Linked DNA regions of Saccharomyces cerevisiae S288C. The gene in region 4 interacts genetically with the main gene of each other region. Each region holds a gene or a part of one and is shown on either strand. Other genes may lie near its edges.

What was found.
Region 1: of GSC2 (region 4) and SCW10, changing one enhances a phenotype caused by changing the other (phenotypic enhancement), as found in Saccharomyces cerevisiae (one study listed by BioGRID).
Region 2: mutations in GSC2 (region 4) and ATC1 together harm fitness more than expected from each alone (negative genetic interaction), as found in Saccharomyces cerevisiae (2 studies listed by BioGRID).
Region 3: mutations in GSC2 (region 4) and SKM1 together harm fitness more than expected from each alone (negative genetic interaction), as found in Saccharomyces cerevisiae (2 studies listed by BioGRID).

The regions. Positions count from the first base shown.
Region 1 is NC_001145.3:878,563-884,687, forward strand, and holds SCW10 (putative family 17 glucosidase), read right to left. Parts: upstream 1,671-6,125; coding exon 501-1,670; downstream 1-500. Other genes in the region: ubiquitin-specific protease UBP15, read left to right, coding at 1-117; FKS3 (putative 1,3-beta-D-glucan synthase), read left to right, coding at 2,597-6,125. UniProt on the Saccharomyces cerevisiae protein: Glucanases possibly play a role in cell expansion during growth, in cell-cell fusion during mating, and in spore release during sporulation.
Region 2 is NC_001136.10:828,472-835,670, forward strand, and holds ATC1 (Atc1p), read right to left. Parts: upstream 3,043-7,199; coding exon 2,158-3,042; downstream 1-2,157. Other genes in the region: putative lipid phosphatase CDC1, read left to right, coding at 1-586; YDR182W-A (uncharacterized protein), read left to right, coding at 680-883; PLP1 (Plp1p), read left to right, coding at 1,114-1,806; UPS3 (Ups3p), read right to left, coding at 3,463-4,002; SND1 (Snd1p), read right to left, coding at 4,388-7,021. UniProt on the Saccharomyces cerevisiae protein: Involved in cation homeostasis and in the regulation of the cation stress signaling cascades. Also involved in bipolar budding.
Region 3 is NC_001147.6:100,141-108,641, reverse strand, and holds SKM1 (putative serine/threonine protein kinase SKM1), read right to left. Parts: upstream 4,317-8,501; coding exon 2,349-4,316; downstream 1-2,348. Other genes in the region: MDY2 (Mdy2p), read left to right, coding at 1-384; Rab GTPase-activating protein MSB4, read right to left, coding at 454-1,932; PTH4 (Pth4p), read left to right, coding at 4,717-5,325; non-canonical poly(A) polymerase PAP2, read right to left, coding at 5,413-7,167; MSN1 (Msn1p), read right to left, coding at 7,685-8,501. UniProt on the Saccharomyces cerevisiae protein: May be involved in cellular signaling or cytoskeletal functions. May play a role in morphogenetic control.
Region 4 is NC_001139.9:546,746-558,383, reverse strand, and holds GSC2 (1,3-beta-glucan synthase GSC2), read right to left. Parts: upstream 10,121-11,638; coding exon 4,433-10,120; downstream 1-4,432. Other genes in the region: CAX4 (dolichyldiphosphatase), read left to right, coding at 1-235; YGR035W-A (uncharacterized protein), read right to left, coding at 598-819; YGR035C (uncharacterized protein), read left to right, coding at 962-1,312; 60S ribosomal protein uL24 RPL26B, read right to left, coding at 1,712-2,076, 2,554-2,572; TIM21 (Tim21p), read left to right, coding at 3,417-4,136; NAG1 (Nag1p), read left to right, coding at 11,084-11,575; IMO32 (Imo32p), read right to left, coding at 10,915-11,638. UniProt on the Saccharomyces cerevisiae protein: Alternate catalytic subunit of the 1,3-beta-glucan synthase (GS) complex. Synthesizes 1,3-beta-glucan, a major structural component of the yeast cell wall. Required for spore wall assembly.

The DNA.
Region 1 (6,125 bases), on a different chromosome or scaffold from region 4:
TTGGACAAAGTTATATTGTATGACATTATGTCCAACTTAGATTATATCTACATGGATCATCCGGATAGATTGAGATCGCATTCTTCCTATGATAGACCAATGATCATTAAAAACTGATACGTCTTACGACTATGTTTAGCTTTGATGTTTTCTCCATTTTTTTTATGTTTTTTTATGATAATCTCTCAGCCGCCATCACTTCCACACAGGCAATGCTCTACAGTTTTATTTTGCTTTTAGGTAATGCCGCATATATATATATATATAAGTTAGAACACAAACTATAGAGCAGCGAGGACCCGTAGCTAAAAGGAAGACAAATTGAAAAATCTTTCACAAATGAGTATAGAATATATACTTTACACAAAACACATAAGTAAACAATAACGTGATAAGAATAGGAGAGCAAATATGGGAAAGGGCTTATTTCCCCCATATTTGGCTGCTTTTTAAGAAAAAGGGAAAAAGAATGATCATAAAGTAAATGAAGTTTCAGTGGTTTAATCACTTGATAGAATACCCCAGTATTTTTCAACACCGTATTGCCCATCATCTTTCCATAGATCATTGAAGGCGGTAAATAAGTAAGCTGAAGAGCCGCAGGAGCTTTTGATAGAAGAAATGGCGGCTTCTTGGTTTGCTTTAGATGGGACAGCTTCGCCGTAAGTATCACCCTTAGATGGCCAACCAGTTTCGGTAATAACGACGTCCTTTTTCCCACCACAAGCAGTGTAAACCCTTTCGATTTGTTCTAGTACCCATGGTCCTGCATCTTGGGCCGCAGTATTTTCATCGAAGTATGCATGGGCGTTGACAGCCATATAGTCAGAATAATTACACAGGTCAGGGTTATTTATAACAGCAATGAAGGTATCAACGGAAACGACTGAGCCTGTATAACCAGCAGAGGTTAAAGCTGACTTGGCCGTGGAAACGTATTCACCGACTTGCGTCGTAGTGGCAGAACCGCCATTGACCAGTTCGTTACCGACAGAAACAGTGGTAATATCATCCCAGGAGCCATAAGACTCAACTGCAGATTTAATAGTATCAACGGCGTCTTGAATTTTGTCAACGTAATATATGCCTAAGAATAATTTCTGGCTTGAAGTTTTAGCTTGCAAGACATTCTCAACCTGACTACAGTCAACGCCATATAATCTGATGTTGTCAAAACCAGTCAACTGTTCTAAATCTGAGGCGACTTGAGCAGTAGATTTACAGGACCCATCATCATTGTAAGGACTGTAAGTAATACCCTTAGCACCGGAGGCTGAGATACTAGATGAAGCGGAGGATGAAGCTGAAGATGAAGTTGAGGATGAGGATGAGGGTGAGGATGAAGTCGAAGAACCAACCGTAGATGCTGCCTCGGAAGATTGAAGAGTGCTGGTTTGTTGTTGAGAAGTGACGACATTAGCGGAAGTTGTTGGTTCTAAAGTGGATGTAGTTGCTTGAGAAGCAACTGCAGTACTGCTGGTAGTAGCTACAACAGCATTCTCGTTCACTGGAACAATAGTTTCGCCGCTGTTACCGGAAACGACAACAGTAACCTGCGCATGGACTGTGGCAGTAACAACGTCACGCTTTTCATGTTTATGGCGAACAGCAGGAGCTCCTAGAGCTCCGGTTAATAATGCAGATACAGTTAGGAAATTTGAAAAACGCATAATGGAATGAAGACTTTTTTTGCGTTAATACTATCTTTTGACAATTTGAAAAAAAGAACAGTAATAGTAAAGGAGAGACGTGACAGTTGGATGTTCAGCTCAATATTGCAAAAGTATAGTATTTAACTCTTTTATTTGGGCCTATATAATAGATGAATTTAAAATGGGAAAAATATGATGCACGCTTCAAAGATACACTGTAAGACAAACTTCACGCAGACATCTTTCCCTCCATTATAAATACTACAGTTTTGAAACAAACGTGGAAAAGAAGGCTTATGGATACGGCTCTCGATGGAGAAGTTACTGTACACATGAAAACACGAATAACTTTCAAACGCGTGCGACGTTTGTTACCATATTCAAACGTTTCAACGCGAATTTTTTGTCCGCTGTTTCGCGCAATTAAAAGTCTTGGCATTTTTCTCTTCAGGTTTTACTTCGTCCGAAATCTTCGAGGACTTTTCCGAAAAAGGTAAATTACTGCAAACGGTCTTTCGCGAAATCTAGACCGAAGATCTCTGGGGATATGTAAGGAACAAATATTTTTGTCATTGAGGGCTTAGATAAAAAGAAAATCTAGATGTCTTGCCTGAGAAAAAGAAAGAGGGAGGCATTCTTTCTTAATTATTACCGTGCCTGGTATCAGCATAAGTGAAGGCCGAGACAGCTTTCGTATATGGCTGTTGCACGTCTCTGAACTAATCATTCTCGCCCATCAAGATCGGACCATCTTGCCTAGTGCGGCAATGATGGTTAAATTATGCGGGTAAGAGTTTTACATGGTCAGCGGCTATTTGGCGAGAACCTTCAAAAGTAATTATGCCTTCTAGGATTTGCCACTATACAACTTAATCATTAAGGGCTGTGGAACTGCATATTGGGAAAAGAAAAACATACTGAGAAGGAAAGTTAAGGAGTTGAATATGGATTTTATGAGTCCCAAGTTTTCGCTAACTGACGTTGAGTATCCTGCTTGGTGCCAAGACGATGAAGTCCCAATAACAATGCAGGAAATTAGAGAAATTTTTGTGGAGCTCATGGATAAGTTTGGCTTCCAGAAATCTTCTATGGAAAATATGTATCAACATTTAATGGGACAGCTGGACTCCAGGGCAAGTCGTACAGGTGCTCAAAATGCTTTAGTATCGCTACATGTTTCATATATTGGAGGCGAACACGCAAATTATAGAAAATGGTATTTTGCCGCTCAGCTCGATTTAGATGAAGAGATCGGGTTTCAAAACATGCGACTACATGGAAAGGCACGCCAAAGAAACGTAAAAATGGCGAAGAAAAGAGGCGTATCGATAAAGGAACAAATTAAGCAATGGAATGAGAAGGAGCAAGAGTTCATCAATAACCATCCAAAGATCACACTGACTCAAGAACAATTGGAAGATCAGACAAACTTGAAAAGTGCAGACTACAAATGGAAATTGAAAATGAAAAAATTGACGCCCGAAAATATGATAAGACAGCTGGCCCTTTATTTGCTTTGCTGGGGTGAAGCCAATCAAGTCAGATTCGCCCCAGAATGCCTTTGCTTTATTTTCAAATGTGCACTTGATTATGATATTAGTACGTCAAGTAGCGAAAAAACGGTGAAATCACCTGAGTATTCATACTTAAATGACGTTATTACTCCCTTATACGAATTCCTAAGGGGCCAAGTATACAAAAAAGACGCAAAGGGGAACTGGAAACGAAGAGAAAAAGACCACAAGAATATTATTGGTTACGACGACATCAATCAATTATTTTGGTACCCGGAAGGATTTGAACGTATTATTTTAAACAATGGAGAACGATTAGTTGACAAGCCATTGGAGGAGAGATATCTTTACTTTAAAGACGTTGCATGGTCTAAAGTATTTTATAAGACATATAGAGAAACCAGAAGTTGGAAGCATTGTTTTACCAATTTCAATAGATTCTGGATTATCCATTTTGCACCGTTTTGGTTCTTCACCACATTTAATTCCCCCACTTTGTACACCAAGAATTATATACAGTTATTGAATAACCAGCCTACACCCCAAGTTAGACTATCAGTGATTGCCTTTGGAGGCACAATTGCATGTTTAGTTCAAATTTTAGCCACCGTGTTCGAGTGGGGATTTGTACCTCGAGAATGGCCAGGCGCTCAGCATTTATCGAGTAGAATGATTGGCTTACTTTTTTGTCTTGCAATCAATTTGGGACCTTCCGTGTATGTTCTGGGGTTTTTCGAATGGGATGTTCATTCAAAATCTGCGTATATCGTGTCCATCGTCCAACTAATCATTGCATTTTTAACCACTTTTTTTTTTGCTGTCAGACCTTTGGGCGGCTTATTTCGTCCATATTTGAATAAAGACAAAAAACATCGGAGGTACATCTCATCGCAAACCTTTACCGCTTCATTTCCTAAGCTGACAGGACGCAGCAAATGGTTTTCTTATGGGTTATGGGTATTTGTGTATTTGGCGAAATATATTGAGTCCTATTTTTTTTTGACCTTGTCCCTCAGGGACCCCATCAGGGTCCTCTCTATTATGGATTTGTCCAGATGTCAAGGTGAATATTTGTTGGGTCCTATTCTATGTAAATGGCAAGCCAAAATTACATTAGTTCTCATGCTGCTTTCTGACTTGGGCCTGTTTTTTCTCGACACTTACCTTTGGTACATTATTTGCAACTGTATTTTTTCCATTGTACTGTCATTTTCTCTTGGTACTTCAATTCTCACGCCATGGAAGAATGTATACTCTCGATTGCCAAAAAGGATATATTCCAAAATCCTTGCTACTTCAGAGATGGATGTAAAATTTAAAGCAAAAATACTGATATCGCAGGTTTGGAATGCCATTGTTATATCAATGTATAGGGAACATCTTCTCTCCATTGAACATTTACAAAGACTCTTGTTTCAGCAAGTTGACTCCTTAATGGGAGACACAAGAACCCTGAAATCGCCTACATTTTTCGTTGCACAAGATGATTCAACGTTCAAGTCAATGGAATTTTTTCCATCAAATTCAGAGGCAAAAAGAAGGATATCCTTTTTTGCCCAATCCCTGGCGACCCCCATTTCAGAACCTGTTCCAGTGGATTGTATGCCAACTTTTACCGTTTTGGTACCCCATTATTCAGAAAAGATTCTGTTGGGCTTGAAGGAAATTATCAGGGAAGAATCTCCTAAAAGTAAAATCACGGTGCTTGAGTATTTGAAGCATCTACACCCTACAGAATGGGAATGTTTTGTTAAGGATACCAAACTACTAAGCATGGAAAAGAGCTTTTTGAAAGAGGCAGAGAGCAGTCATGATGAAGATAGATTGGAAATTCCGGATGCTCTGTACGATCCAAGGTCTAGCCCGCTTTCTGACCATACTGAGTCCCGGAAGTTGCCCACAGAAGACGATCTTATTAAGGAGAAAATTAATGATTTGCCATTTTCTTACTTTGGCTTCAACTCATCAGAACCATCGTACACCCTGAGAACAAGAATCTGGGCATCATTGCGGACGCAGACTTTGTACCGAACCCTTTCAGGGTTTATGAACTATTCCAAAGCTATTAAGCTACTGTATCGAATTGAAAACCCCTCTTTAGTTAGCTTGTATCGTGGCAATAATGAAGCATTGGAGAATGACTTAGAAAATATGGCTAGCAGGAAATTTAGGATGGTTGTTGCTATGCAGAGATATGCAAAATTTAATAAGGATGAAGTGGAGGCAACAGAACTACTTTTAAGAGCCTATCCAAATATGTTTATATCTTACCTTTTGGAAGAATTAGAGCAAAATGAATCTGAGAAAACGTACTATTCGTGCCTGACTAATGGCTATGCTGAGTTTGACGAAGAAAGTGGATTAAGGAAGCCAATATTCAAAATTCGCCTGTCGGGCAATCCAATACTTGGCGATGGAAAATCGGATAATCAGAACCATTCTATTATATTTTATCGTGGTGAGTATATTCAGGTGATTGATGCAAACCAAGATAATTATTTGGAGGAATGCCTAAAGATACGGTCTGTTTTAAGTGAGTTCGAAGAGCTTGAGCTTAATCCCACAATCCCATACATTCCTGGCATTGAATATGAAGAAGAACCACCGCCCATCGCTATTGTTGGTTCAAGAGAGTATATTTTTTCAGAAAATATTGGAGTGTTAGGTGATATTGCTGCAGGTAAAGAACAGACTTTTGGAACCTTATTTGCTAGAACGTTGGCTGAAATTGGTGGTAAATTGCACTATGGGCATCCCGATTTTCTCAATGGCATTTTTATGACCACTCGTGGTGGCCTGTCTAAGGCACAAAGAGGATTGCATTTAAACGAGGATATATATGCTGGAATGAACGCAATCTGCCGTGGTGGAAAGATAAAACATAGTGATTACTACCAATGTGGTAAGGGTAGAGATTTGGGATTTGGGTCCATCCTGAATTTCACTACTAAAATAGGTG
Region 2 (7,199 bases), on a different chromosome or scaffold from region 4:
ATCACAAGAAATTTTAACGAAAATTCAACCAGAAATATTATTTTCCGGGGATGATCATGACCATTGTCAGATATCACACTCATATCCGTTTCAGGGGAAAACTAAAAATGCTCAAGAAATTACAGTAAAGTCATGTGCAATGAACATGGGGATCAGTAGGCCTGCTATTCAATTGCTCTCCTTATATAATCCTTCAGATTTGACAATGGTAAATGCCGGCGGAGAGTATGCATCAAAAACTTACCAAACAGAGCTATGCTATATGCCAGATCCCTATAAGGCAATCAGAATGTACCTATGGGGATTATTATTCTCTGCTGCCTTTATCGCATACATGCATTTTTTCCCAAAATCTTTTAATAATCGCGTAGCAACCATAATGAACAGAGTATTTACACGACCTGATGGTAACACCTCAGATTTGCCATTACCTACAAGTATTTCCAAATCGAAATCCAAAAAATCATTGACACATAGTAAATACGCTGTGAATGATACGCGTTCGATCAAACAATTTCTAGTTAATGCAATTGTCCTTTTTGTTTCTGTGATGCCCATTTTTATTTATTTTTATACTGTAGTCTAGACAGAATTACTGCTATTCTCTTCCAGGATCAAAATGCTTTGAAGGGAAACGTCTGGCTATTTAATATATGCGAATACACCTTATATACAGACAATGAACAAGAGATATAAATTATACCGGGTGTGGTATTACTATGCTCACCAAACAGTTTGCATAACCTCTACTGGATTTGCATTATGTTTTGTGGTCCAAGCTAAAACTGCAGGACTGGGCGTAACACCAATTACTTCACTATACGGGGACAAAAAAGAACACCTAGGTAAGTTGTTGGTTCCTTTAGTTTTATATCAAATTTAGCAAGTCATGACGGCAAATTTCTTTGTAAGCTTTGTTTAAAAGATGGATACAAAAGGACGACTTTCCTTTCAATCTTTCGTTTTTGCTTTTTATTATTCCATAGCAATATAGTGATCATAGTAGTGTAATTTTTAGAGTTTAAAAAACACGAAAGTAGGATGAAGTACAAAAGATTAACGAAAATACTCCATTCTCTTAACAACTCATACGTATATGAAGATTAAATTAATATGGAAGATAAATTAGACAGATACTACACAAATGTGCTTTCAAATGCTGAAAAGGATAAACACACAACTGTCGATAGCGATGACAAAAGTAGTGGCGAGGAAAATTTAGATGAACTACTTAATGAATTGGATAGAGAATTAGACGAGGATCATGAATTTTTGAGTGCTTATCGGTCGGAGAGGCTACAACAAATATCAGATCATTTAAAACAGGTCAAGAAGAATGTTGAGGATGACGGATACGGTAGATTGCAGTGCATTGATAACGAGGCAGATGCTATCCAAATATGTACAAAGACTACTATGGTGGTCATACATTTTGAATTAGAAACATTCGGTAAGTGCCAGTATATGAATGAAAAACTGGAAAACTTGGCAAAGAGGTATCTAACCACGAGATTTATTAAAGTAAACGTCCAAACATGTCCATTTTTGGTTAATAAACTGAATATTAAAGTACTTCCGTTTGTAGTTGGATACAAGAATGGCCTAGAAAAAGTTCGCTACGTAGGATTTAGTAAACTGGGAAATGACCCTAATGGGTTTGATATTAGGAGGCTAGAGCAATCTTTAGCCCATTCAGGTGTTATAGAAGACACATTCGAAATAAGAAAGCATTCATCTGTGAATACGGAACGCTTCGCTTCTACAAATCATGATAGAAGTGAAAGTGATAGTGATTTAGATATATAACTAAATAACCATTACCTCCCTACTAAAAATGACTCGATGGTCTTTTAAGCCATACGCATGAGCGAAAATGGTTCCTCCTGTTCAAACTAAATCGGTTATTCGAGCGTACCGTTGAAAATTTAATAAAACGTTTTGGGGGATTTATAGAAAGTTAAATACGAAATATGCGTATAGTAATGTTTATACATGAAACTCAAAAATGCGACTGTGTTCCTTAAAATAATAAAAGTTGAGTACGAATAACGATGACTGAGAAAGGTAGTGTATATTGTATATAAAATTGGACCATCTTTGTAGTAAAGACAAAAAAACCAATAAATGCAGATAAACTTAGCAGAACTAACTCTAAATTTAACTTTCCTTGGATGATTTTTCATTGAGTTTTTGAGTAAGTTCTAGGATTTGTTGCTTCAAGTCATCATTCTCAACCAATAAATGTGCTCTGTGAATTTCACTATCCTTTAAAGAGTCCATAGATTTTTTCAATTGAATACAAGATCTCGCGTAACCTTCTTTAATAAAATTGAAATTGAGCAGCAATTTATGAGTATTAATTATTCTTGCCTTCATTTCCGAAATTTGACTTATTGTAAACTCATTTGTGAACTTAGCAGGCTTCGTTGCAGATACAATGTCTTGTCTTGCAGAATCTATTTTAGATGTTATATCAGTAATCATGGATTCTATTTTTAGGTGGGATTCATTAGCGTCGGATGAAGCTAACGAAGATGAAGGTGATAGGGATGCAGGGGATAACATGGGTTCATTTGTGGTTTTCAAAAGGGATTTTTTCTTCTTGATGGTGGGTTTATCTATCTTATAGTTCTTTTGTTCTTTATCAGGTTTATGTACGTTATTTTGGTTTGTACTTTTATCTAATGATGCCTTGCCAGTATAACCCTTTTTATGCCTATCGAGATCAATACCAACTAGGCTATCATTAGCACTTCTCTGCATTTCCAAAAGTGTGCTCGAATCGGTGTTGTGTTCATCGTTAAATAAAGATTCCAATGTTAGGTGTTTCTGAGAAGCGATGTCGGAATCAAAAATATCAGTGCAGTCTAAATTATCCATCATAACTTGTTCGAGATCCTTTCCCAAATCTAAACTCTGCCCATCAATCTTTACTGTATCATCAAAATGATTATTTGCCTGAGTGAGCAGCCGATGCAACGTATGTTCTATATTGGCATCATCTGTTAAATCTGTATTCGGATTGGACTGATTCGTGTTCATTATCTTCACGTTTTCCCTATCACAACCTTAGTGTAACTTGAACCAACAAAATTTAAGATGTCAAAACTTCAATCAAGTATTGAGCTCTTCAATAGGGCACTAGCCCTCTGAAATTTTTCATTGAAAATACCGTACCGCATGTTTTTTGGAAATTTTTCATCTCATCGCTAAAGTGGAAAAAAAAAATTCTAGAAACTGAAAAAAAAGAGAAAAAAAAATGACAGAAAATATTTGATTTATATCAAGATGACACGAGTTTGCAAAAAGAGAAAGACACGCTATAGAAACTATTTTGGCAAATTAATCTATTCACTTATTTTTGAGTTTCTGAGTGTAGTTATATGCAAAGAGGCTATAAATCCTTATTTTTTTGAGAAAAAATGCTTGAGAAAAAATGCTTGAGAAAAGATGTATTTTTTTTTATTCGTTAGCATTTTTCCAGATATCGTTGAACATTGCTAGAATACTATCAAACCCGACTTTCCCCTTCACCGCGTTATCACTAAAACGTTTAACGCCCCAGTTTTCTACTTTCTCACTAAAGGTTTTGGTCGGAACACCAGACAGAAACTTTGCATCCTGCTTGAAAAGAGTCACATTCGATGGATTTTTCGGATGAGGAACATAACGTACGGTTTCGTAACACTTCAAAATATGCGGGAAGGTCATATTGCAACTCCTCATAGTTAAAGATCTGTCCCTTCGATCAACGGTGGAGACCTCTCGCACGTATGCTAAATTAGTGTTCCCCACTAAAATGGACATCCAGTGAGGGGTGTTCTGACGTATGGTTATCAGCCGTTCTGTAAGAAGTACATCGCCATGTTCTTTGAGCTCTCGGCGGAGCACATCGACTGCAATAACGTGTGTGGAGATCTTGTTTGGATATTTCATCCAGTTCGCCGTGGTGACTTTCTCCCATGGGTAATCGAATTCATAAGATTTTTGAAATGATTTCATTATTAATATATAAGCTCGAGAGATATATGACTAATAGAAATATTTACTTGAACTTGTCGATTAGAGAAAAGAAAATGCGTTGCTTGGACCGCAGATCCCACTTATTGTTTTCTTGCCAAATGTAACAAGATCTATAGGTTTATGAACTTTCTTCGAAAATCTCATTACTTTTTTTGATAAATAAACGGGCCCCTTGCGGACAAAGCCCTGAAAATTGAAGATTTACGCAGTATCACGTAAACCCAAAAAAAAAAATACAATATCGGTTAAAGTGCTGTTTTAATTTAGAATATATGTTTTACTAATCTATTTATAATCAAGTATATGTGTAATTTGGCTTTTTCCCTTGCCTTGTGCTTAACCTAGTTTTTTTCAGGTGATTATTTTACCGGGCATTACCTCCTAATACCCATCCTCCCATGTTATCCATATCATCTTCGCCGTATAAATCCAGGGTGACGGCTTTTTTATAAACGGGTTTGGTGACTGTAGAATTCGAGTTTGAGTATTTCACTCCTTCAGTTGTTACATCTGTAAAGCCTGCACTATCATTGTCATCATAGAGATTTAGATTGAAATTATTGGAATTTATACCAGTATTATTGTCGTTATCATTATCATTATAGTTATCATTGTCTGGGTGATTCGGTACTATTGTGCTATTAGTCGAATCGTTATCGTCCTCGCGTTCTTTGGGGAGAGATCCAGACATGATTTGGTCTTCTTCCTCGAGATTTAGTAACCTATGACTGGAATTGTTACTATTTTTAATGCTATTCGCCATCAACGCATCTGTAGGCGTTCTGGACTTGAAGTTTAGTGCCAAACCATTCTTTTCCATGTTACCATTCATCAAGGTGCTAAAAAGGTTAACTGATGGTTGTCTTCTCAGTTCTTCAAATGACTTGTTGATCAAATTCTTCTCAAATAGCAAGTTACTGTTTGAATTATTTCTCATTAGTAATGGAGATGCCTGTTGTGTATGTTGTGGAATTGGTGAATTCAAGAATTTTTGCTTCTTACTTGTGTCATTTAATAATTTGGAAAATGCGTTTGATACTGTAGACATGTCATTCAACGAGGAGTTTGAACTACTTGCGCTTGTAGAGGGCGTAGATATTCGGGAAATAAATTCCGGAGGTATCAATCCATTACTAATAGAAGGAGCCAAGTTTCTGTTCATCAAAGATTTCCTTTTAATAAGCGTTGCAGACGATAGATTCTTTTTGTTGTTGATAGTGTCTGTCCCGTCAAAATCACCATCGTGCACGTAGACGTTAGTAAAATGGTTTGAAGAGGTCGATCTTTTAGGTGATGAAGCCCCTGCAGAATCGGGTTGTTGGCTGTTTGGAAATTTCTGGTTGAACGGCTTTTGCAGAGCAGGGTCCATTAAACTCAAGGACCTAAACCTACCCCTTGTTTCCTTCGAATTTTTTGCCATAGAATCTATTCCGGAGGATAACACGTCTGTGCTCGAACCAGAGCGGGACAAAATGCTTGGAGCGTAAAAGCTCAAACCTTCATCGTCACTCTCATCGTCATCGTCATCATCGTCATCATCGTCTTCATCATCATCATAGTTGTCTTCATTTCCACCTTCTTCATCATCGTAATTAAAGCCATATTCATCTGCGTATGAGGTTCTATCCTGCTCTTGTTCCCCTCGTTCTTTTGTATAATCGTCATAATTATTATTGTTGTACAGGACAATTTCCTCATTCTTAGCACGGTCTTGCACTTCGTTGATTTGGTTGTTTAACTCGTCATATACTAGTTCGTCGTTTGATGGTGTCTTTCCGTAGGGGAAGGGAGAAGGCGATCTGGACATATTAGAACTAGAATAGGATTGTGAACGGGAATGTGGATGCAGATGCGATTGTAAATGCAGTGCAGTTCCCGAAGGCTGCTTGCGTAGGTTGGATTCCTGACCAATAAGATTGTTGATTGACGTTGATGGGATAGTTGTGATGGATTCGTTCGTTTTGAACATATGTGCCCTGTTGGATTTTCTGTTGATAGACAACGACCTAATTCTGACGGACTTGTCTTTATTGGAGGTTAAAACCGAGTTTTGAAAATTCAACAACGACGAAGAGTTTCTTTTCAAACTTGTGTTGCTCTGGTCGTCGCCCTTATCTTCGTTAACAGCATCTGAATATTCATGTAGCGCTTTTATTGATTCCTGGGAGATAAGGCTGGTGAGAGGGTGGTCTGACAACAAAGTCAGCAGTGCTTTTACCCCCGTGCTATTCGTGACAATAACTATGGAATCCAAGACAGTCTGGTCTTGCATGCTACCATTGCTCTGGTTTGAGCCGGTGAATTTCTCGTTCAACTTGGTGTAGTACTCTTTGAACGGGAGTGACTTGGAGTTCTGGATTGTCTTAGTGAAAGAACCAATATTCTGCCAATTAATGATTTTTAAATTAAGCAGTTCTGCGTTCAGGAAAGTAGAAAACCACTTGAGAGAGGTGGGAGAAACGTTGATCTGGAAACATAGGTTTAGTTTCTTTTGAACATACAAGTCTTTGAAAGAATTAAACAATTTTTCAACCAAAAATCTTATGGTCTCCACGTAACGTAAAGACCCCGAAGACGACACCAGTACATTCAGATCAAACTTGTTTTCCGGTGTGCTGCGAGAGCTGATCAGACTTTTCAACTCCTCCCAAAACTTATCGTTATCTTCCGCAGTAGATGTGTTGGAAAAACTTTGCGCGATCGAATTTCTAAGCCGATGCAGCTTAAACCGTTTATTCAGTCTGGAAAGCTTGTTATGAGTCATCTCATCGTTGTAGTAGTCGATCGTAGGGATATCTATGTAAAGTAGGATGTTAAGCTTCTTTAGCGAAGGGTACCGGTCCGCCAAAGACGCTTGTACCACTGTCTGCTGCATGTTGGAGTAAGTGATCAGAAACAGCGAGTCCTGTGACTTCACACTAACTTTTGGTGAAGTGGACTGGGCAAAGCGACGCTCATTAATGCTCGCGGCTGCTGCGTCCGTACCGACAGTGTCCATCGTAGTGTAGGCTTCCCAAAATTTAGGATGTGATTAGTAATAGTGGTTGATTGCGAGCTCCGGGATGCGAGGGAGAGCGTGTATGTGTACTTCAAGTTCGCCAACTTCTCTCTTAAATAGAAAAAGAAAAGAAGAAAAAGGAAACGAAAAAAAAAAAAAGTAGGGAAAAGCTGAGTGA
Region 3 (8,501 bases), on a different chromosome or scaffold from region 4:
TTCTCCATCGAGCATGATTTCAGCCCATCAGATACTATCTTACAAATAAAACAGCACTTGATCAGCGAGGAAAAGGCCTCCCACATAAGCGAGATAAAACTGCTTTTGAAGGGCAAAGTCCTCCACGATAACCTGTTCTTATCGGATTTGAAGGTCACGCCTGCCAATTCCACAATCACAGTCATGATTAAGCCGAATCCGACTATATCTAAGGAACCCGAAGCCGAGAAATCCACTAACTCCCCTGCTCCTGCTCCTCCACAGGAACTCACTGTGCCCTGGGATGATATCGAGGCTCTTCTGAAGAACAATTTCGAGAACGATCAGGCTGCGGTTAGGCAAGTCATGGAGCGTCTACAAAAAGGCTGGTCTCTGGCCAAATAAGATTAGTATAGTTAGTACGTACATACTTGTTATTTTACACAGTTGCGCTTTTTATCACGGTTGCGCTTACTATTTTCTTCTTTCCTTTGGGCGGCTACTCGCCCTTTGTCTATTTCTCGCCATCGCCACATACTCTCTACCGCGATCAATCTTTTCCTGGGTAATACCATTCAACGCAACCTTCTTCTTCATCAGGACTTTCTCAAAGATATCATTCGGATTGAGCAATCTTTTTGGGAAATTTTGAATCACTTGCAAAATCTCCATATCTGCCTCTTCCTGCGTCTTAATCTTGTTCTTTAATCTTTTGAAAGTTGAATCAGAGTCATTACTACCACCGAAGGTGTACGAAGAGTACTGTCTAAACAGTTTCTGGCTTTTACTCTCCAAAAACTCGCTTTCGCTCAATTTCAGTATCCCCAAAGCCACTTTAAATAAAAAATGAGACTCTTCATAGAATAAACAGTCCCATATTCTCAGGGTCGTTTCGATGGGCACCACGCCCACAAAACAGCTCATAAACCAACTTGCCGTACACAGCGTCAGCGTAGGCAGCCTGCAGAGATATTCTTCCCCCGATGCTGGCCCTGATATCTGGTCAGTGCTGCCATTGCCATTCATATACGATGACTCAATGTGTGACCATATCTCGGGTAAATATTCCTTGATACATAACACCAACACCCCTTGATCCACGTTCGCACCCTCTAAGTCTGATTCATACACGCCAGGTAAATACTTACCGGTAATAATAACCAGCATCCAAAATGCTTTCTCTTCTTCCATGAACAATAATAGCAATCCAACGAGAAAATTCATCGATTGGCAGTATCCAATAGTCTTGTCATAAACAGAAAAGGCCATTAATACTCGACGCAATGATCGGATGATCGCCGGCTCTCCATTTTGGAAGGACTCCTTATGGAAATGTATATTATCGGGAAACGTTCGATAAAGATCCCGTTCTATAGCTTCCATATCTTTACCAGATACGGCACCCTCGCGACAGTCACTTTTCAGTCTATCATAAACGCCAACATTTGCGTCTAATTGTCGTTGTCCACCAGCAAAATACCACCAGGCATTCCCTCTCCATTCTGCTGGTATACCTTTTCTAACAAATTTTGACAATTCATCTGTCCTTGCAGGATATACTAGAGGATTATCATTGTGGAGCTCAATCTTATTCTTAAGAAGAAAGTTCTCCCACTTTTTTTTTCTTCTTTCGGTGTATCTATTATATTCTGTCCACCATTTGTCGTATTCTTCCTGACTAATGAAATATCCTTTCTTGCTAAATCCATATCTATCAAAATTCTCAGGATCTGCCATGATTAAGCTGGTAAACGCCTTTGCTTTTTCAAGCTCACGTGTTGTCAATATTTCTTTTCGTTCTACTGTAGAACTATCATCCCCTTCATCGTCGTCATCGTATAAATCAAGAACGCTATAATTGGCATCGTCTTCGTTGAATGACGAAACTGTGTCAAAAACACTTTCGTTCGGTACCAAGGCGGCTTCTGTCGACATAGTTGATGACATTATCATCCTGTCATGCCGGGTTTTGCCTTCTGTGATTGTAAAAGTGTGCGAGTCTTCCTCGATTTTGAATTACTTCGGTGCCAAATGTACAAAATACTATCCTAACTTTTCAAAAATAGTTTATTCTTATAAAATCATCCGTAAAATGATTAACTGTCCCCGCTAAAAGCGTTTGTAAGCTCAGTTCATAGATATGTCTTCCATCCGTAAATCCGCCTAACGAATAGCAACACATTCTTTTTCCTTTTACATTTTCTATTGACATAACGCGAAGCAAACGTATCATTGTTGTTTTTTTTCTATAAATAATCAAAAAGAGTAATTGTTTTAGATGAAATAAAAATGCGATTAAAATATGAATCATACATACGTATATACATATATATATATATTGTTTCTCCTAAATAAAAAAAAGCTAAATTTCAATGCCACTTTAAGGATACTTTGAGCTGCTCAGGGCTGCATGCCATTGACAAAAATTCAAACGTTAGTAGTTTTCTCACGGATGCTCTTGATTCGACATTCACTTGCAAACAGGCATCTAAGAATTGTTTGGTTTGCTTGGACACTGACTCTGGATGACGCAATTTTGGTGAACCGTTGTTAGCTATCAGATACAGCGCCTTCAAAGGATCCTCATTTAGGTAAGGCGGTTCACCTTCTATCATCTCAATAAGCATTATCCCTAGAGACCAAACGTCGACTTTTTCATCATATCCCTTTTGATTCACTATTTCAGGTGCCATCCAATATGGAGTACCTACCATTGTGGCACGCTTGCTTCTTTTTTCTGTTAATTCCACACAAAAACCGAAGTCTGTAATTTTCACTAACCCTTGGGAATTCAGAAGGATATTATCAGATTTGATATCTCGATGGATAATTTTCTTGTTATGCAAAAACTTCAAACCTTGGCACGTCTCTTTTACTATATATGCCATTTGGTTTTCGTTTAACGGCGATGAGTGCTCACCGGTATTGCTCCTTGCTACAGCATCCAATATATCTGTTAAGCAGCCACCTTCCATGTACTCCATTATCACCCATAACTCTTCGTCATCAATAATATAGGCTTCAAGGAAATTAACGATATTTTCTTGGCGCGAATCATTCATCACTAGGAGTTCATTCATAATCAATTGTTTCTTTGGTTGTTCAGATAAACGTATCTGCTTAATGGCCACTCTTTCGCCTACGACTCGGTGGCAATGTGATTTCAAGAATCTCGGGTCATTTTCTTGAGGTAATTTTATTCGCTTTGACAGGTATACTGCACCACTTGCTCCTTGACCAGCCTTTTCTACCAGTTGGAAATACGGTCTTGGGTTTACATCAATTGCAACAGTTTTCATCTTCATTATTATTTCATTCGAATCATCATTATTCTTAAGTTCAAGGAGATCCTCCTTATGCCATTTAGTTTTACTATCATGATTTTTTGTAGCAGGTGCAGATGGTGCTAGTCGATGAGGTCTAAATGTTGAATTATTATCATGCCTTCGCAGATGGCTTTGAATGACTTTCTGTTCCTTCTTTCCTAACTGCTTTGTCTGGGAATCTGCCGTGCTTTCTTTACTAACATGCACCCTGCCTTCTTCGCGTACTTTATTGTCCTCTATGTTGGTAAACTTATAATCATCATCACTAGGCCTTGGGAATGGTTTAAGTTCTGATTGATAGACGGGTAAAATGGAATCTGTTTTGCCTTTTCGGAGCGTCCTACTTACTGATCTCTTGATGGAATTAGTCCTCTTGTTTATAATATACCTTGTCGGACTTTTTAAAGGTTTCAAGTCTAAGCTTGTGTTGAGGTGATCATTGAATTGCATTGTGTCCAGTCCATTGTAATCTTCATAAAATTGCAGTGCTTTAATAACAGCTTTTGAGTTTCTGTTCCAATCGTCGTACGTAATTTCTGAGGTTTGTAGTAGTTTAGCCCAACTATCAGGTACTCCAACAAAGTTTCCCACTTTTGGGTCGAACCCAACGTGTACTTTGTGTGTAAAATTTGTTGGTGATGAAACACCACTAAGGAGAGGACATTTGGCAAAAATGGCATCAAGCCAGCCATGCAAATCCCGTTCGGTTCTTGTGGAAATGAATATCGATCTTTTGGAATTTGATTCATAAAAGTAGGAGTTTATGGGGGATATGTTCTCTTTTTGATCTGTTGCCCGAAGAATCTCAAAACAATTTTGTTTCAATTGTATTCTGCTAACATTTGTTATACTAGTCAAAGGCACAGATAAGACTGGTTCCTCATTGCACTTATCACTTTTGTAAAATGCTAAATACGAATCATTCAGTACCAAGTATCTCTTTTGCCATAAGAACGAAAACAATCCATCAACTTTATAAGATATCCATCCTTCCTTTTTTACGCCCTTCATCGAAAGATATTCTTTCGTTTTGTCTGATTGTCCTCGAGTATAGCTCTACAAAAATTGTACTTATCGTCTGATCCATTGAGAAAACCAGGTGTAGGTCTTCATAAAGCGAATATTTATTCACTTACCACTGGGGACCTCCCCACAGAACTTGATTAGATGAATCTGCGTCCTGTTCCTTCATTCTTTTTTTAGTTTACAACAAACCATAACACCCGTGATGACAACAACAGGAATTATCGCAAATCAATCTTTTACCAGATCTGGAAGCGGATAGTCAACATTTCGTGTCTTCCAAGGGGCTGACGAAATCAAGCGTATACGGTAAAAAAAAACAACAGAATCCTTAACATTACTGTTTGCCTTTCAGTAAATTGAAGGGAAACACGCCAAGAAATATCATATGACAACATTGATGGGAAAGTTTAAACTTACTGGGCGCTCCCCTCTGTTTGTACTTCAACCAATGTTGCACTGCAAGAAACAACAGTTCGTTGAAGAGGCAGTCAGATTGATTAGTAATAAAAAGATCGGAAAGAAATCTGACTTCGTCCAGGCAAGAAACTGGGTAGGAGCACTTAACGTAACGGGCTTGCCCTTAAATCAATTTATTTTACGTTACGATAGAGCCAGCGGGCCAGGAGGCCAAAACGTTAATAAGGTAAATAGTAAATGTACTTTGACACTTTCTGGTTTATCAAACTGTGCTTGGATTCCTCAGGAAGTGAGAAACATCTTAAGTAGCGGCAGGTTTCGATACTACGCTAAGGGCAGCGATTCTATAGTAATTCAATCTGATGAAACTAGGTCAAGGGAAACCAACAAATTAAAATGCTTCGAGAAGTTGGTTCAAGAAATTCGGCAAACGTGCCAATTTCCTAATGATACCACTGCTGAGACCTCAAAGAAATGGAATAAAATAAAAGAGAAAGCCAACAAAGAGCGACTTCTTGACAAAAAAGTTCACAGCGATAAAAAGAAAAACAGAAGTAAAATTAAATTCAATTATTAATACATAATACGCATATTTAAACACACATTCTATCCAGGTACACAGTGATGTACAGTTCAGTGCATCATTTAAACAAAAAGGCACATATTAAAGGGTATAAGGATTATATCCATCTTCATCATCATCTTCGCTAGAGACAGTGATATATGTCTCTCCACTATTTCTCTTGGCCGGTTCACTTTCAGGTTTTTCTTCTATTTTAGCCTTCTTAGCAGGTGGGTTCGTTATTTCATAATCATCATCTGTTGTGGTAGCGGTGGCTGTGGAGGTAACTGTATCTTCGGCAAAATCTTCATCATGAATTATTCTGCTACGTTTCTTGTGATAGTTTTCATTTTCAATAATAGCCTTATTCAGTACTAGACCTCTTTCATCCTTGAAATCTCTTGCCTTTCCACGATATTTGATCACGTTTCCCAATATACTTTTCCCCAATCGATCCTTAAAAGTTGCTGAATGTAATTCAAAACATCTATTCGTCAACAGATCAAAAGCACCAGCAAATGCCTTTTTAATATCTCGAATGTTAAAGGACCCTCGACTGATGTTATTTGATTCATCACCTGGATCTTGAATGGCCAATGAAAATGGATTTTTAATAGGCTGAATAGCACTCCATGTCGATTTTGGAAAGTATACTGGATATCCATCCGATGATCCCAGTGCAACATCATCATAACCAAAATTTTTCCCATAAAGTTCAAAAAACTCTATCAGGAGCACACCCAAGTTGTCCTTTGGATCTATTTCGTTAGTTATTATACGTGGGTGCATATGCAAAAAGGAAAAGACAAGACATATAATACTAAACCCACCAAGACCACCGGTATGCACATTATTTAGTCTTCTTGCGTGTAGGAATTGTTTTACGATAAGGACTAATTCTCTCAGGCCGGGGGTATCGTCCAACCACTCTCTAATAAGCTTTGCTGCTTCAATACCATTTGTTCTCTCAAATGAAACATCTATGTGGATCCCTGAATGTGGCTCAACAAACTTGATGATTGGAACGCGAGCTTTGGCGACAACTTCAACCTCTGTTGCCAAATTTTTTTTTTTTAAATGGCTTGCTAACGAATACAAGTTATTCCTACTTTCCTTACCACCAAGTTCGCTCGTTACCACGCAATCAATATCGGAACCAGGCAAATACAAATCGGTAGAATATGATCCAAACACGTGCAAATCAGCATCTGGCCATAACTGTTTGACAGCCTCTCTTATTGTACTTATGGTTTGATTACGAATTTCAATTTCTTCACGACTTGGTGAGATATAGGCAACAAAATCCTTGATTTCAAAGGTTAGCCAGTCCGAGATTTCTTTCTGTTTGGAGTGATCATGATTTAAAATCCATGGATAATCAGTATTAAGGATTTCCTTTTGCTTTTCTTTTTTAATTTCTAATTCTTGTTTCTCCCTCTCCTCTTCCTGTTCGGCTTGCTCATCCTCAGAACTAGCAGAAAGAGAGATAAAATCATCATTGTTAGCAAGATCCTTCTCATCCCCGTGCACTGCTAATGAAGGCGTTTTACTTTCTTCAGTAGTCGAGGGAATATCAGTAGGGTTATCGAAATGTCCATCGTAGACATCGAATCCTTCATCATCATCAGATTTATGTTCTAATACAAGAATTCCATCCGCCGTGACGTGATCTTTAGGTAATTTATTTGTCTCTTGCTCATTACGACTAGGTAAAATCTCTACTTCGTTTTCGTCGTTCAAGGATATAGACTTCTGTGGTTTCCGTACTTTCTTGATTTTCTTGCTCTTTTTCACTTTCCCATTATGCCGGTTTTTAATCTTCTTTGAAGAAGAGGCTGTTACACTCTTTGCCCCCATATTTCAAGTATAGTTCCCTTGCTTATTCACACTTTATGAAAGCGTAACGTTTTTGGTCGTATATTCAAATGGTTTTTTTTTAATGAAACTTAATAGTTATTCTATATTATTTTCCTCTTTTTTTTATTTTATTTTTTTTTTCACACATTATTTTAGAATCATATACAAGAAGCCGAGGATGAATACAGGTTTCTTCGACACTCAACGTGATAATCAAAAGGCAAGATAAGAAAACTGAGTAAACCTAAATATCTCACGCTTGGGATCCTTTACTTAAATTCAGTTAGGTGTTCAGCTATTCTAAATTCAAGAGCGTAAAGTACAAGGCATATTATATAGATATGTATACGTATACAATTGTTGTTGGCTGACTTCTGAGTTTTATAGGATATTATTAGAGATTATTGTTACAGATACAACCCACTTTAAAGGAAAGTCCAATTATTAATTTATTAAGAAAAGCATAAGTGTTACAAGGGCTAATTTGGGATAAAGGTGAATACACAAGAAGCAAATGTCACTTCAAAGTCTCTGGAATATGAGAACTGTGGCATAACCAACCAATAGGTTGTTTAACCTTCTGTTTATCATTAACATATCTTGAGTTTTCTAATATTTCAACAACATAGTTTAATGAATACCCACGATTAAGGCCAGTTTGAATGGCTTTCCAAAGAACCTTTCTTCTCGAATATCTTTTATTTACTGCTGGATCTCGCCTCCATGCCGTTTGATAAAGAGCTTCCATTTTCCTTATAGAAGGCTGCCCGTTAACACCTTCTGTATACTCCTTCCAAACCTCCATCACAGAGTGTGGTGACTTGATAAATTCGAAGGGTCTTGTGCAGACTATTCGTTTCCGTTTCAATCCTGTTTTAGTCTCATACTGTTCCTCCTCAAATGTCGGCACGCTCTCTTGTGCATTTGATTCAACCGCATTTTCATGGTTAGGAGAAACTTTCTGGAGATTAGGAGACTGCCGTGATTGAGAAGAGTTGCTGCTTATGTACAGTCCTTGACTTTGGCCACCATCATTGTTAGGTGGATTTGCTGAATACTCTTCCAAGGATGGGACTAAATTGGAATTATAATTTTGCGGCTTGTTGAACCGAGTGTCCACTGAAGGGTTGGTGCTATTATTTTCTTGGCTTATAGAATTTGAGCTGTTAGTTTGTTGTTGACTCTTATCATTTTCTTGTGAATTTCCATTCAAAATGTCCTCAAAAAGTGTTTCATTACTAACAGCTCCTTCATTTTGCGGATGAGCAGTTTGATCATTATTCATAGGCACTGAAGTATAATTCCTAGGAGCTCCTGGTGCCGTAGTTCCATCA
Region 4 (11,638 bases):
TCAAGTAATCGTGGGATTCAGCGTGGGGGCACTGACTGGATCACTTTATTTTTTTATAGTTGGCATCATAAGAGAGCTTGGTTTAATCAATTGGTTTTTAAAACTACGTATTGTCAGATTATTTTACATGACAGATTCTTACAATCTGGCGCCTTTGACATTGAAAGAGAATTACGAGGCGTATTGGAAAAGAATAAATCAGCGATCTTTCAATGATAAATCCAAAAGGGATTAGGTTGAACATTTCATTTTTCTTATTTTTTCATCTATTTTAGCGAGGCGATCTTGAGCGTTTGTGTAACTGGATAAAACTTGGCAAGCTGGAGTAGTCCTTATTTCTCATAAAGAAAGCCGAAAGCCTGCTCTCCTACAGTTATTAATTAAGAACGCTCGTTTTAAACAGTTACTGTGTAAAGCGACGGTAATCGAAAAAGTATGTGACATCGTGCAAAAGAAGATAATCAAAACCATGCAGAACGTAGAATAAATGTGAGTTCTATCACTTGCGGAGATAATACCCTCTGACGCCGCGGGGCCGATTGTTCCACGGAGGGAAAGAATCGGCCCTCGGGTTTTACGAGAGCGCCGCGGGTGAACTCACTTTTTTCTCGAGAAGAAGTTTCCTACGGCAGAATAAGACCCTTTTCCACGGATAATCAGCGGAGCTTCTGGACATAATAGATGGTTTGTGAAAAAGCTTAAGGAAAGCCGCGGATTTAGCATGTCACCCACACTTAGATTACGAAAGCAAGGATTGCAGAAAAAAAGATGAGATACAGTTTTGAGGGCAATATATAAAATATATAAATATAGCAACATTCCCTTCTCTCTGTTATGTCCACAATACTTCTAAAAGTTGTAACATATATCTATACATAAAAACTTGTAACAAACATATAATTAAAACAACTAGTGACAAGACGGAAGTTATAAGTTATCTTCTCTACAGAAACAATACGTAATGTTACTCACACCAGCCAAGACTACAAGAACGGAAGACTCAGCAAACTCAACAGATGACAGCAGTAAAAGCAGTAATTCATTCATGCGTGCCATAGTTTCTTCCCTTATGGTTAAGCCCATAACATCTCTGACTAATACAGTCACATGCAGACAAAGTTCCCATCACAATAGCTCTCCAAGTAAAATCACAAGATATGATTTAATCAAAGCTGCTGCTGAAAATGACTTGAAAAGGAGTAAGTCTCAGGGACGAGAAAAATCCAGAAGAAACTCTAATCGTAGAAATAATGAAGAAATTTTTGTGGCCAATACTGCTTCAGAAATCCAACGGACTAAAAGTAGCATATAGCAACCCTGAGGTCAATGTGCTTAACTACTTCTTTGCATCTTCATTGTCTCTAAAAAGATTCATATCCTCATATCCATTCGCATCTTACTCATCTTCATAATCACCCTATGTACATATATATATTGTCATAAATATACTAATAATTAACAATCACATTTTAATATTGGAAGTTTTCTCATTTTCTTGCATTGAATTCATGCATCTGCCGCTCAGCTAGAAACAAGCGCATTCGTCTACCAACCAGCCCTTGAGACCCGAAGGCAGAATGTGAGAAATTACAATTTTATTTTTAAAGAAACTAAACTAAACTAAATTGAAATTGATAAAAAATATACATAAAAGAAACACAGGATTTATTTATTGTATTTTTTGTATGATCTATGTTAAAGTCGAGCTAGTTTATTCCAATTTACCACCCTTTCTTTGGATCAAAGCCTTTCTGTCCTTGTCCAAGTGTAACTTAGTGATAACAAGCTTGGATGGGTGCAAGTTAATTGGAACGGAAGCACCGTTGACCTTTTCCTTGGTGACCTTGTCAACTTGAACAGCAAACTTCAATCTGTAAACAGATGAAATCTTACCTTCTTGACCCTTCTTGGAACCACGAACAACCAAGACTTCATCGTCTCTTCTGATTGGCAAAGCCTTGATACCATATTGAGCTCTCAATTCCTTGGATAATGGAGCAGATAACAAAACACGACGTTCAGAGGATGGAGCAGTGAAATAAGCCTTTCTGGCCTTTCTTCTGTCAGAGGAAACGTCTATTGAAAACAAATAATAAAAAAATTTGTTAGTAAAAGCAAAACTTTTTTTTCACAATGAGCACATAATTTTCATCCACACTTAAATCTATGTTGCCCCACATCCAACGGAGTATGCATTTCACAAATCAATATAAACGGTAACTTCCTACTTTTCTTCTATCTCCTCTGCGTACTCACGTTTTTCAATATTGGATTCTAAAGCCGGAATTTATGTCAGCAATACACAAGCTTAAAAATCGTTGAGTGCTAAATAGTCGCCCTATGCCTGGATTGAATATGCAAAAGCTGTTTCTTTTTTTTTTTTTTTTTTTTTTTTTTTTTTTGGCTTAGGTACATTCCTCCTCATCATACACATTGTTTTACAATAATTTAACATTATTCGATTAATTGTTCTCTTGCATTTTATGTTAACATTTTTTCGTGGACGGAAATTCACTCATGTTTTCTATCGTTATTCGTATCCTCCAAACATACCTAGAGATTGCTTAGCCATATTTGATATATCTTTGGTCTTGCCGTTGTTATTCCTTAAAAAAGAAGCACTGAGAACGGGCTAATACTTTAAAACAGTAGCCAGATAGCTATTGCTACTATTAATTTCCAAACACTATGTGTGTAAACGTATGAGATTTCCCATCCACGGCGGCCACCGTCTACTGACAACCCATCCTAAGCACTGACAATCTGAAAATTTCCAGATCTCTGTGAGTCCCTCAAGCCGAGGACAGCAGAAAAAAAATCAAAGAGATATGATAAAGCTCCTATTAAACCCAAACACCTTTAATGCACGGGTGTAAAAGGGATGTACTGGGCATCTTTCGCTAAGTTACAAAATGGGCATTTCTTATTTTATTGTCTACAAGAATTTTTTTTATAAAAATAACAACTAGGGAAACAAACAAGAAAAATTTATAATATTCATTGAATTTCTGTGACTTTATTTTAATTTTTTTTTTTCCTATTGGTCAACAAGAAAAAAAACCGGATAATACCAGGTCAGCTTCGAACCTGGACATGAAAAATGACGGAATACTGCTCTACCAACCACTGATCTAGATGAGTAGGTTAAATTTTTGGCCGCGAAAAAAAAAAGGTGTACATTATATGCGTCATGTCTTTTGATTTTCCTGGTTTTTTCTTCACTTTTCTTGGGAAGTTTCGGAAGCTCCAATAAATAAAGGATACAGAAAGCAGTGAAAAGATGTTCAGCTCTACTAGGTCAAACCTGAGGGCGTATTTTTCCGCCAGTGACAGCAGGTTATAGTTCTAAATTTAATTTTAGATATCAGGTTGGTAAAATCATTCGTATATTATTTTCCTGACTCCAAGTTTAAACAATGAGCTCAAGTTTGCCTAGGTCTTTACTCCGTTTAGGACATAGAAAGCCTTTGTTTCCACGATATAATACTTTCGTGAACTCATCGGTAATAACTCATACGTCACTGCTTAGAACAAGATTATATAGTAATGGCACCGGCGCAACATCAGGAAAGAAGGATGACAAGACTAGGAATAAACCTAAGCCATTATGGCCTCAAGTAAAATCCGCTTCTACGTTCACCTTTTCTGGCATACTTGTGATAGGAGCTGTTGGTATATCTGCTATTGTTATTTACCTAATTCTTTCAGAACTATTTTCGCCTTCAGGTGATACACAGCTTTTCAACAGAGCAGTTTCTATGGTAGAGAAAAACAAAGATATAAGAAGTTTGTTACAGTGCGACGATGGCATTACGGGAAAAGAAAGATTGAAAGCGTACGGTGAGCTTATAACGAATGACAAATGGACAAGAAACAGGCCTATAGTATCTACCAAAAAATTAGATAAAGAAGGTAGGACACATCACTATATGAGATTCCACGTTGAATCCAAAAAGAAAATAGCGTTGGTTCACTTAGAGGCTAAAGAATCCAAACAGAATTATCAACCTGACTTTATCAACATGTACGTTGATGTTCCCGGAGAGAAGCGTTACTATTTGATCAAGCCAAAATTGCATCCGGTTTCTAATTCGAAGGGCTTTCTGGGAATTAGATGGGGCCCCAGAAAAGATTAAGATCAAATTTGACGGAGTTGCTCAGGTTTTAAATATTCGTAAATGACTGTTATTTCCACGTGTCTTTCTATGTGTATCACCTGTTATACGTGTTGGACCTTACATCTAAAAAAGAAGGAGAACGCCCACCCACATCCAAATATGTTGCAGATCCTACTATATAGCGAGAGGACCGAGCTTCTAAGAAAGTTACAATGAAATAAATATAAACTAGGAAGAATAGAAAGTAAAAATATACTTATGTATTTGCGTGATAAACTTGCTTAGAAACAAAAATAGATTGTAAACTAAAAAAATCATTTGATCGTAGACCAGGTCTTTAAGGATGGCGTATGAGTGTAATAATGACTCTTATAAGTAGACATCTGGGACCCTGTATCATTGTTAGATACGTTCCTTGGTTGAACCAAGTTATGGAAAGTACCCGTCAACCCAGATCCAAGGTCTTTTGGAACATGTGCTGAAGCAACGGCAGGGCCAACGATGCATCCCGCGAATATGATCAGTACCAAAAAGTACAAGCTGCAATACCTCCTAACCATACGTTTACGTAGGCGTGCTTGTTTCAAAGAGTAAATAGGAGGACGGATTTGACGGGATGGTTTTAACCAAAATAACATGATGGAGTGAAACTTATCTATCTTTGGAATACAAATGACTGGTAGTTGGAAGATCAAAATTACATGCCCCAAAACAAAATCCGCTGCAAACTCGGAAAGCTCAATGACTTTTGCAGTCAATTCCCTTGTCGGTTGAGTCCATGCCATATATCCTAAACCGGTGCTGTACCATTTGCCTGTCCAAAAGGCAGTATTAGCGTGATCATTCTTGAACTCACGGGTCAGCAACAGTACAGTCATACAGTGAAAAATCAACCTTTGACATTGTATACATGTAACAACGCCAATCAACATCCTAACAAAACTAAAACCCTCTAAAACCCACATGACAATGAAAAAGACAATATGGACAACAACAGCGATACCGTGAGCGATCCCTGCCATAACAGAACCAGTTTTCTTGCAGCACATGCCCAACAAAGGGCCAGAGCAGCATGACAAACCCATACAGAAGAATAAAACACCAATATCGATAACAATAGGCGCCAAGGTGCAAATGATGATACGTAAGGTGGAATTTACTCTATCTTCATCAGTAGTCTTGACACCAGTTTGTGCATTAATAAACGTGAAGGCAATAAAACAACCTGCTGCGTAAATCGCACACGGTATAATTTCAGCCATAATTAAATTGGTTCTATGAGCCCTGCTTGCATCGCCTGCAGATTTTTCAGACTCATCACCCACCAGTTTGCGCTTGAAACCAGTAACACGAGACCTCGACATTCTTACATAACCAATCCATGAGTTCCTGTGGTACTTATTATTACCTCTTGACAGCCATCTGATATAATCTCTGTAGTCTAGGAAAAAATCTTCCCAAGCAAATTGATGTGGATTGAAAATGAATGGTGCAAAGATTAAGGCTGATAATGATGCCCAAAACCATAATAGTGGAGCTTGCCAATGTGCCACGGTACCAAATAATAACATCAACATTGATCTTGATCCCATATAAATGGCTGAACCCGCAAATCTTGAATAAAGAATAGAGAAAGGTATACGAGATGTAGCAAAGCCACGACCTGTTGAAATATAACGAGCACCACCCACAGCGATATCACTTAACAGTGCTGAAGAATAGATTTGGCCAGCAAAGACTTCAAACATTGGAGATAGAGATAAAATGTGACGGAAAAATCTTTGTGTCGCCTTCCACAGACCACGCTCGATTAATTCCTGAACGACAATAGGGACAAAAGCAATCCAAAAGACGATGAAAATAGAGAGTGTATAACGTCTCACCCAATCAATCGCAGGATGAAAGTTGTAACAACCAATTGGATACAAAACATCAGTAATTGGCTTATCCCTATCGTAAACACACAGAATGGATTCATGAGCCAAAGCATGCAAGTTCACTAAAGTTAACATGAACATCTGCAGAGACAATTGAATAAATAAGTTATTCAAGTGAAACCCTGGATGCGCATAATAAAATGTTAAAAAACGGTCAATAGGTAATTGCGTACCCAAATAATAGTATTCACGAGATAACATTTGTTCACCCATACCAGCACCGATCTTAGTAGTGAAATTCAAAATTGTACCAAAACCTAAATCTCTACCTTTACCACACTGATAATATTCGCAATGCTTGATACGACCACCCCGAAGTACGGCATTCATACCGGCATAAATATCTTCATTTAAATGTAGACCCTTTTGTGCTTTGGAAACACCACCCCTAGTAGTCATGAATGTCGCATTAATAAAATCTGGATGACCATAATGCAATTTACCACCAATCTGTGCCAAAGTACGGGCAAATAATGTACCAAAAGTTTGTTCTTTACCAGCCGCTACATCACCAAGAACACCAGAGTTTTCTGAGAAAATATATTCTCTAGCGCCGACAATTGCAACAGGATGATTTGTGGATTGGTCCTCATATTTTAAACCAGGAGTATAAGGATGAATTTGCTCAATTCCCAATTCTTCAAATTCTGCTAAGACAGACCTGATTTTCAAACACTCTTCCAAGTAATTGTCTTGATTAGCATCAATCAATTGAATATACTCACCTCTGTAAAAAATCAAAGCATGATTTTGATTATCTGATTTACCATCACCAAGAATTGGATTACCGGATAGTTGAACTCTAAATTTGGGACGTCTACGACCATTCTCTAAAATCTCACAATGACCATCAATTAAGGCCGAGTAAATTCTTGGCTCTTCGCCTTCGTTTAAGGGAGGTTCTTCATCCAGGTAGGCAATTTGCAAGTCCGGATAAGCTCTCAACAGGAACTCAGCATTTTCTAGTTCATGTGGTTTAAACTTGGCCAATCTTTGCATCGAAACCAAGAATTTGAATTTTCGCCTTGCCATTTTTTCCAGTTCTCTTTCTAATCCATCAGCATTACCACCGAACATTTGAACGATTTCTGGATTTTCCACACGATAAAGTAATTTTATGGCCCTCGAATAATTCATAAACCCCGAGATTGTGCGATACAAAGTTTGCGACCTTAAAGAGGCCCAGATTCTCGTACGTAAGGTGTATTCTGGTGCAGCAGATTTGAAACCAATACAATAGAAAGGTAAATCATCAATTTGAGATTTCAGAGCGTCTTCCTTTTCAGGTTCATCTTCATTGTTTTCATATGCGGCCGTTTCTTCAGCAAGAATTTTCGTATCCTTAACAAAACAGTCCCATTCTACCGGGTGTAATTGCTTCAGGTATTCCAAAAGAGTAACTCTTGAAAATTGATCATCTTCACGAATAATTTCTCTCAATGATAATAGAATCCTCTCGGCGTAATGGGGAGTTAATACAGTAAATGTTGGCATGTTGTCAACTGGTAGTGGTTCTGGAATTGGAGTGGATAGAGATTGGGCAAAAAATGAAATACGGCGCTCAGCTTCTGAATCTCTAGGGAAAAATTCAGTCTCAAAATTATTGTCATCTTGGGAAACAAAGAAAGTTGGTGCTCTCAAAGTCCTCTTACCTTCAATTTCGGACGGAACCTGATGATATAACAATTTTTGTACATGGTCTATGGCTAATAAATGTTCTCTGTACATGGAGATAATGATAGCATTCCAAATCTGAGAAATTAGTACTTTCGGTTTATATTTTATTTCCATATCAGTAGTAGCCAAGATCTTAGAATAAATTCTTTTTGGCAATCTAGTGAAAATATTTCTCCATGGAGTTAAGATAGAAATACCCAAATAGAACGATTTTCCGACCGAGAAAACAGTGTTAACAACGATATACCACAAGTAGGTATCCAAAAAGAACAAAATGAAGTCAGTCGCAATCATTAAACCTAAAACAATCTTTGGCTGGACCTTACAAATCTTATTACCCCACCAGTATTCACCAGTACATCTCATTGATGTAGTAGATAAAATCCTAATTGGATCTCTTAGTGACAGTATTAGAAAAAAATATGACTCTGCATATTTAGCAGCAAAAACGGTTACCCAAACCAAATAAGACATCCACCTGTCTAAACCATGCAATGGAGCAAAAGATGCGGTGAAGGTCTGTGAGGCAACATAACTTCTTGTGGACTTTTTCATATACGATGTAAATAATCCACCCAATGGCATTACGGAAAAGAAAACAAGTGTTGCCACAGCAACAAAAAACATAACTGCTCCAACGACATGAGCGGCAGTAGAATATACTGTGTCCTTATCATAAGCGAAAACAAATATCACAGGCCCCAAATTAATACCCATAATGACACACAAGAACCAGAATCTACGGGACAAATGTTGAGCACCCGCCCATTTTCTAGGAACGAATGACCACTCGCACAAAGTAGCGGCAACTTGAATCAAACTTGCCACAGTACCACCTAATGCTGCAGTGGCCCATTTATAAGCTGCCAAAGGCTGATTGTCGACCAATTGTTGATAGTTGTGAGTATAAAAAGTTGGAGCATTGTAAGCACAATACATCCAATATACTGAGATGTGCATGATCCAAATACGATTGAAGTTGGTAACTAAATGTAACCAGGAACGTGTTTCTTTGTAAGTTTTAAAGAAGACATCATCCCAGGGAATTTCTCCCAATTTCAAATAACGCTCCTCTGCTGGCAAATCAATCAACCTGGTTCCATCTTCCATGACAATTTTTGCTATACCTTCTGGATACCAGAATAATTGATTGACATCATCATACCCAATAACTTTGTTATGATCTTTTTCACTCTTCACGTATCGACCATCCACGATTTCGTAAACCTGGCTCCTAATAAAACGATAAAGAGGAGTAATAACTCTATTCAAAAAATCACCTTCAGGCAAGGGATCAGGACGTTGTTGACATTGTGCAGAATCTAAGTAATCAGAGGCGCATTTATAAATGAAACAAAGACACTCCGGGGTAAATCTGACTTGATTTGCCTCGCCCCAACATAATAAAAACAAGGCAATTTGACGAACCATTTCAAATGGAGAAAGTTGATTCATCTTTGACTTCCATCTAAAATCCGCAGCTTCTAATGAGTTATCACCCTCAATTTGATTTAAAGTCTCCTCAGTGTCTTCAGGACTAGCCTCTTGCATGGCTTTTTTATTTTTCTTCTTAGCCTTTCTTGCCTTTCTTGATAGCTTACCCAACTTCATATTCCTGAAACCAATTTCATCATCCATATCAAGTTGAGCGGCAAAGTACCATTTTTTGTAGTTGGCCGTATCTCCACCTATGTAGTCTGCATGTAATGATAAAAGGGCCTGTTCTGGAGACATCCTAGAAGATCTAGAGTCCAAAAGGGTCATAAAATGGTCAAACATATTTCTCATGGAATCTCTCTGAAAACCGAATTTATTTGTTAAATCTATGAAGATATCTTCGATTTGTTCGATGGGCAGGGGAGACTGGGGATCTGCGGTCCATGCGGGATATGGATCATTTGGTAAAGCCATTTCAATAGCATTAGGGTCGTAGTACTGGCCATTACCATTAACGACACCATTTCCATAGGGGGTTGAGGCCCCTGAAGAACCATCTTGATCAGGATAACTCATTTGAGAAGGAGTATATTGATCGTTAGGATAAGTGCCGGATGGGGGACCATAGCTGCTAAAATCTGAGAAGTTCTCTCCATCTTGAGAAGACGGGTTCATCATATTGGGGGGTTGGTTATAGTAACTAGCATCGTTATTATAAGGACCTTGGTCTTGTGAAGGATCTTGTCCCTGAGGAAATTGTGTACCGTCAACGTATTGTTCGTTTGGATCATAATAACCATCATCCAGTTGGTTTTGTGTATAGATTGGCTGACCGTACTCATCGTACGCACTTTGATCCTGTGTCACTTGGTACGTAGGGTAATTACCGTCACCAGTCCCATCACCGTTACTGTAATACTGTCCATTCAAGTTTGGATCGTTGTAGGACATAACTATGACAGTTTAATAATTATTTATTGTCCACTTTTTATTTTTTTCCTTTTCTTCTCTTTACAGGAGTGTATCCAAACAGCGCTTCGATTAATCCTTTTGTAACTTCTTTAATATGCCTGCAGAAAATATATGCGGCGTTCTTTGTAACCTTTGATCTTCAGTAGTATCTAGCAAGCACCAAAAAAAAAAAGGAAAAGCAAAAGAGAGATGTAAAAATAAACGAAGGATGCGTGCTGGGTAGACTTTTAGTAGAACTCTAAGTGTGAAGTATATATACAAATAACAAAAATAATATATGAATAAATGCAGTACTTTATGAAACTCTATTCTTAGCACACCAGTTGAAATACACAACGTAAGCTTTTATTTTTGTATCTTGAATTTCGTGTCACACACTCTTTGCGTTCCTGCTCTCTTGTTCTCTGGTGAACTCGAAATAAGCAGTAGAGAAAATAAAGGAGAAACAGGGAAGAAATGGAGAGAACGAACGAGGCTTTATCTCATTTTATTCTACTCTTTGCTATATATACATACGTACACCTCATTTGCATCATACCGCCCAAATTTCTTTAGCCACAATTCCATGTTCGAACCGCGAACGTGAAACTGACGATCTTATCGTATGCATCAGCATCATCTCTTTTGGCGATTTGCCGTTACTAGGCCTTTAAACTGGTGTGGCACTGCCTACACCCCATCACCACTCACACAATAGTCCGTATGTCATGTGCTACGGCAAGCGCACAGCCACCGACTGGTGCTACTGGCACCTTGCTCCGGGGCGCTTGCCTTTAATCCTCGTGCCGCTCCACAAAATCGACGATGCTTTCGGCACATTCCCCAGGCTTCTCCGCATTTACCCAGTGACCCGCATCGATGTCACGTGTTTCAAAGCGTGGAAAGAACGCGCCGATGATCGGAAGATACTCGTCTACCACATAATGCGATTGAGTAGCCCTGATGAATAGCGCAGGCCGCGTCCATCGTTCACGAGCAGGATCTAGGGGCCACGCGGCAATTTCACCTTTGACAATGGCATCTTTCAGTGTTGCGAGGGGAATTCGTTCTTCGAATGTATATGACGACACAGACGATGAATTGTCCATCTTGACCTTTTTCAGCGCCGTTAGGAGAAACCGCCTTACTAGCTCATTGCCGCCGATCCTCTCTGCAAGGTGTTCATCAGCCTGTTTCAGCGTGCGGATAGTTTTGCCCTTGTCGTTGACGATTTCCATCAGCGCTTTGATGTATTCGACAAACTCAGCGTTAGGGCGCAAACTCACCGGAGCGTTCTCTATACAGACTAACATCGAACAAAGTTGCGGGTTTTTCAGGACCAGCATCATGGCAACTTTACCACCCATTGAGTGTCCTATTATAATAGGGCCTCCATTGGTGTTTAATTCGTGCTTTGTGATAAAGTGTTTCACGTCTTCCGACATGACTTCGTAGTTATGGACTGAACTGTGTGGTGAGGATCCATGATTTCTTAGGTCCAGCAGATACACGTCTCTT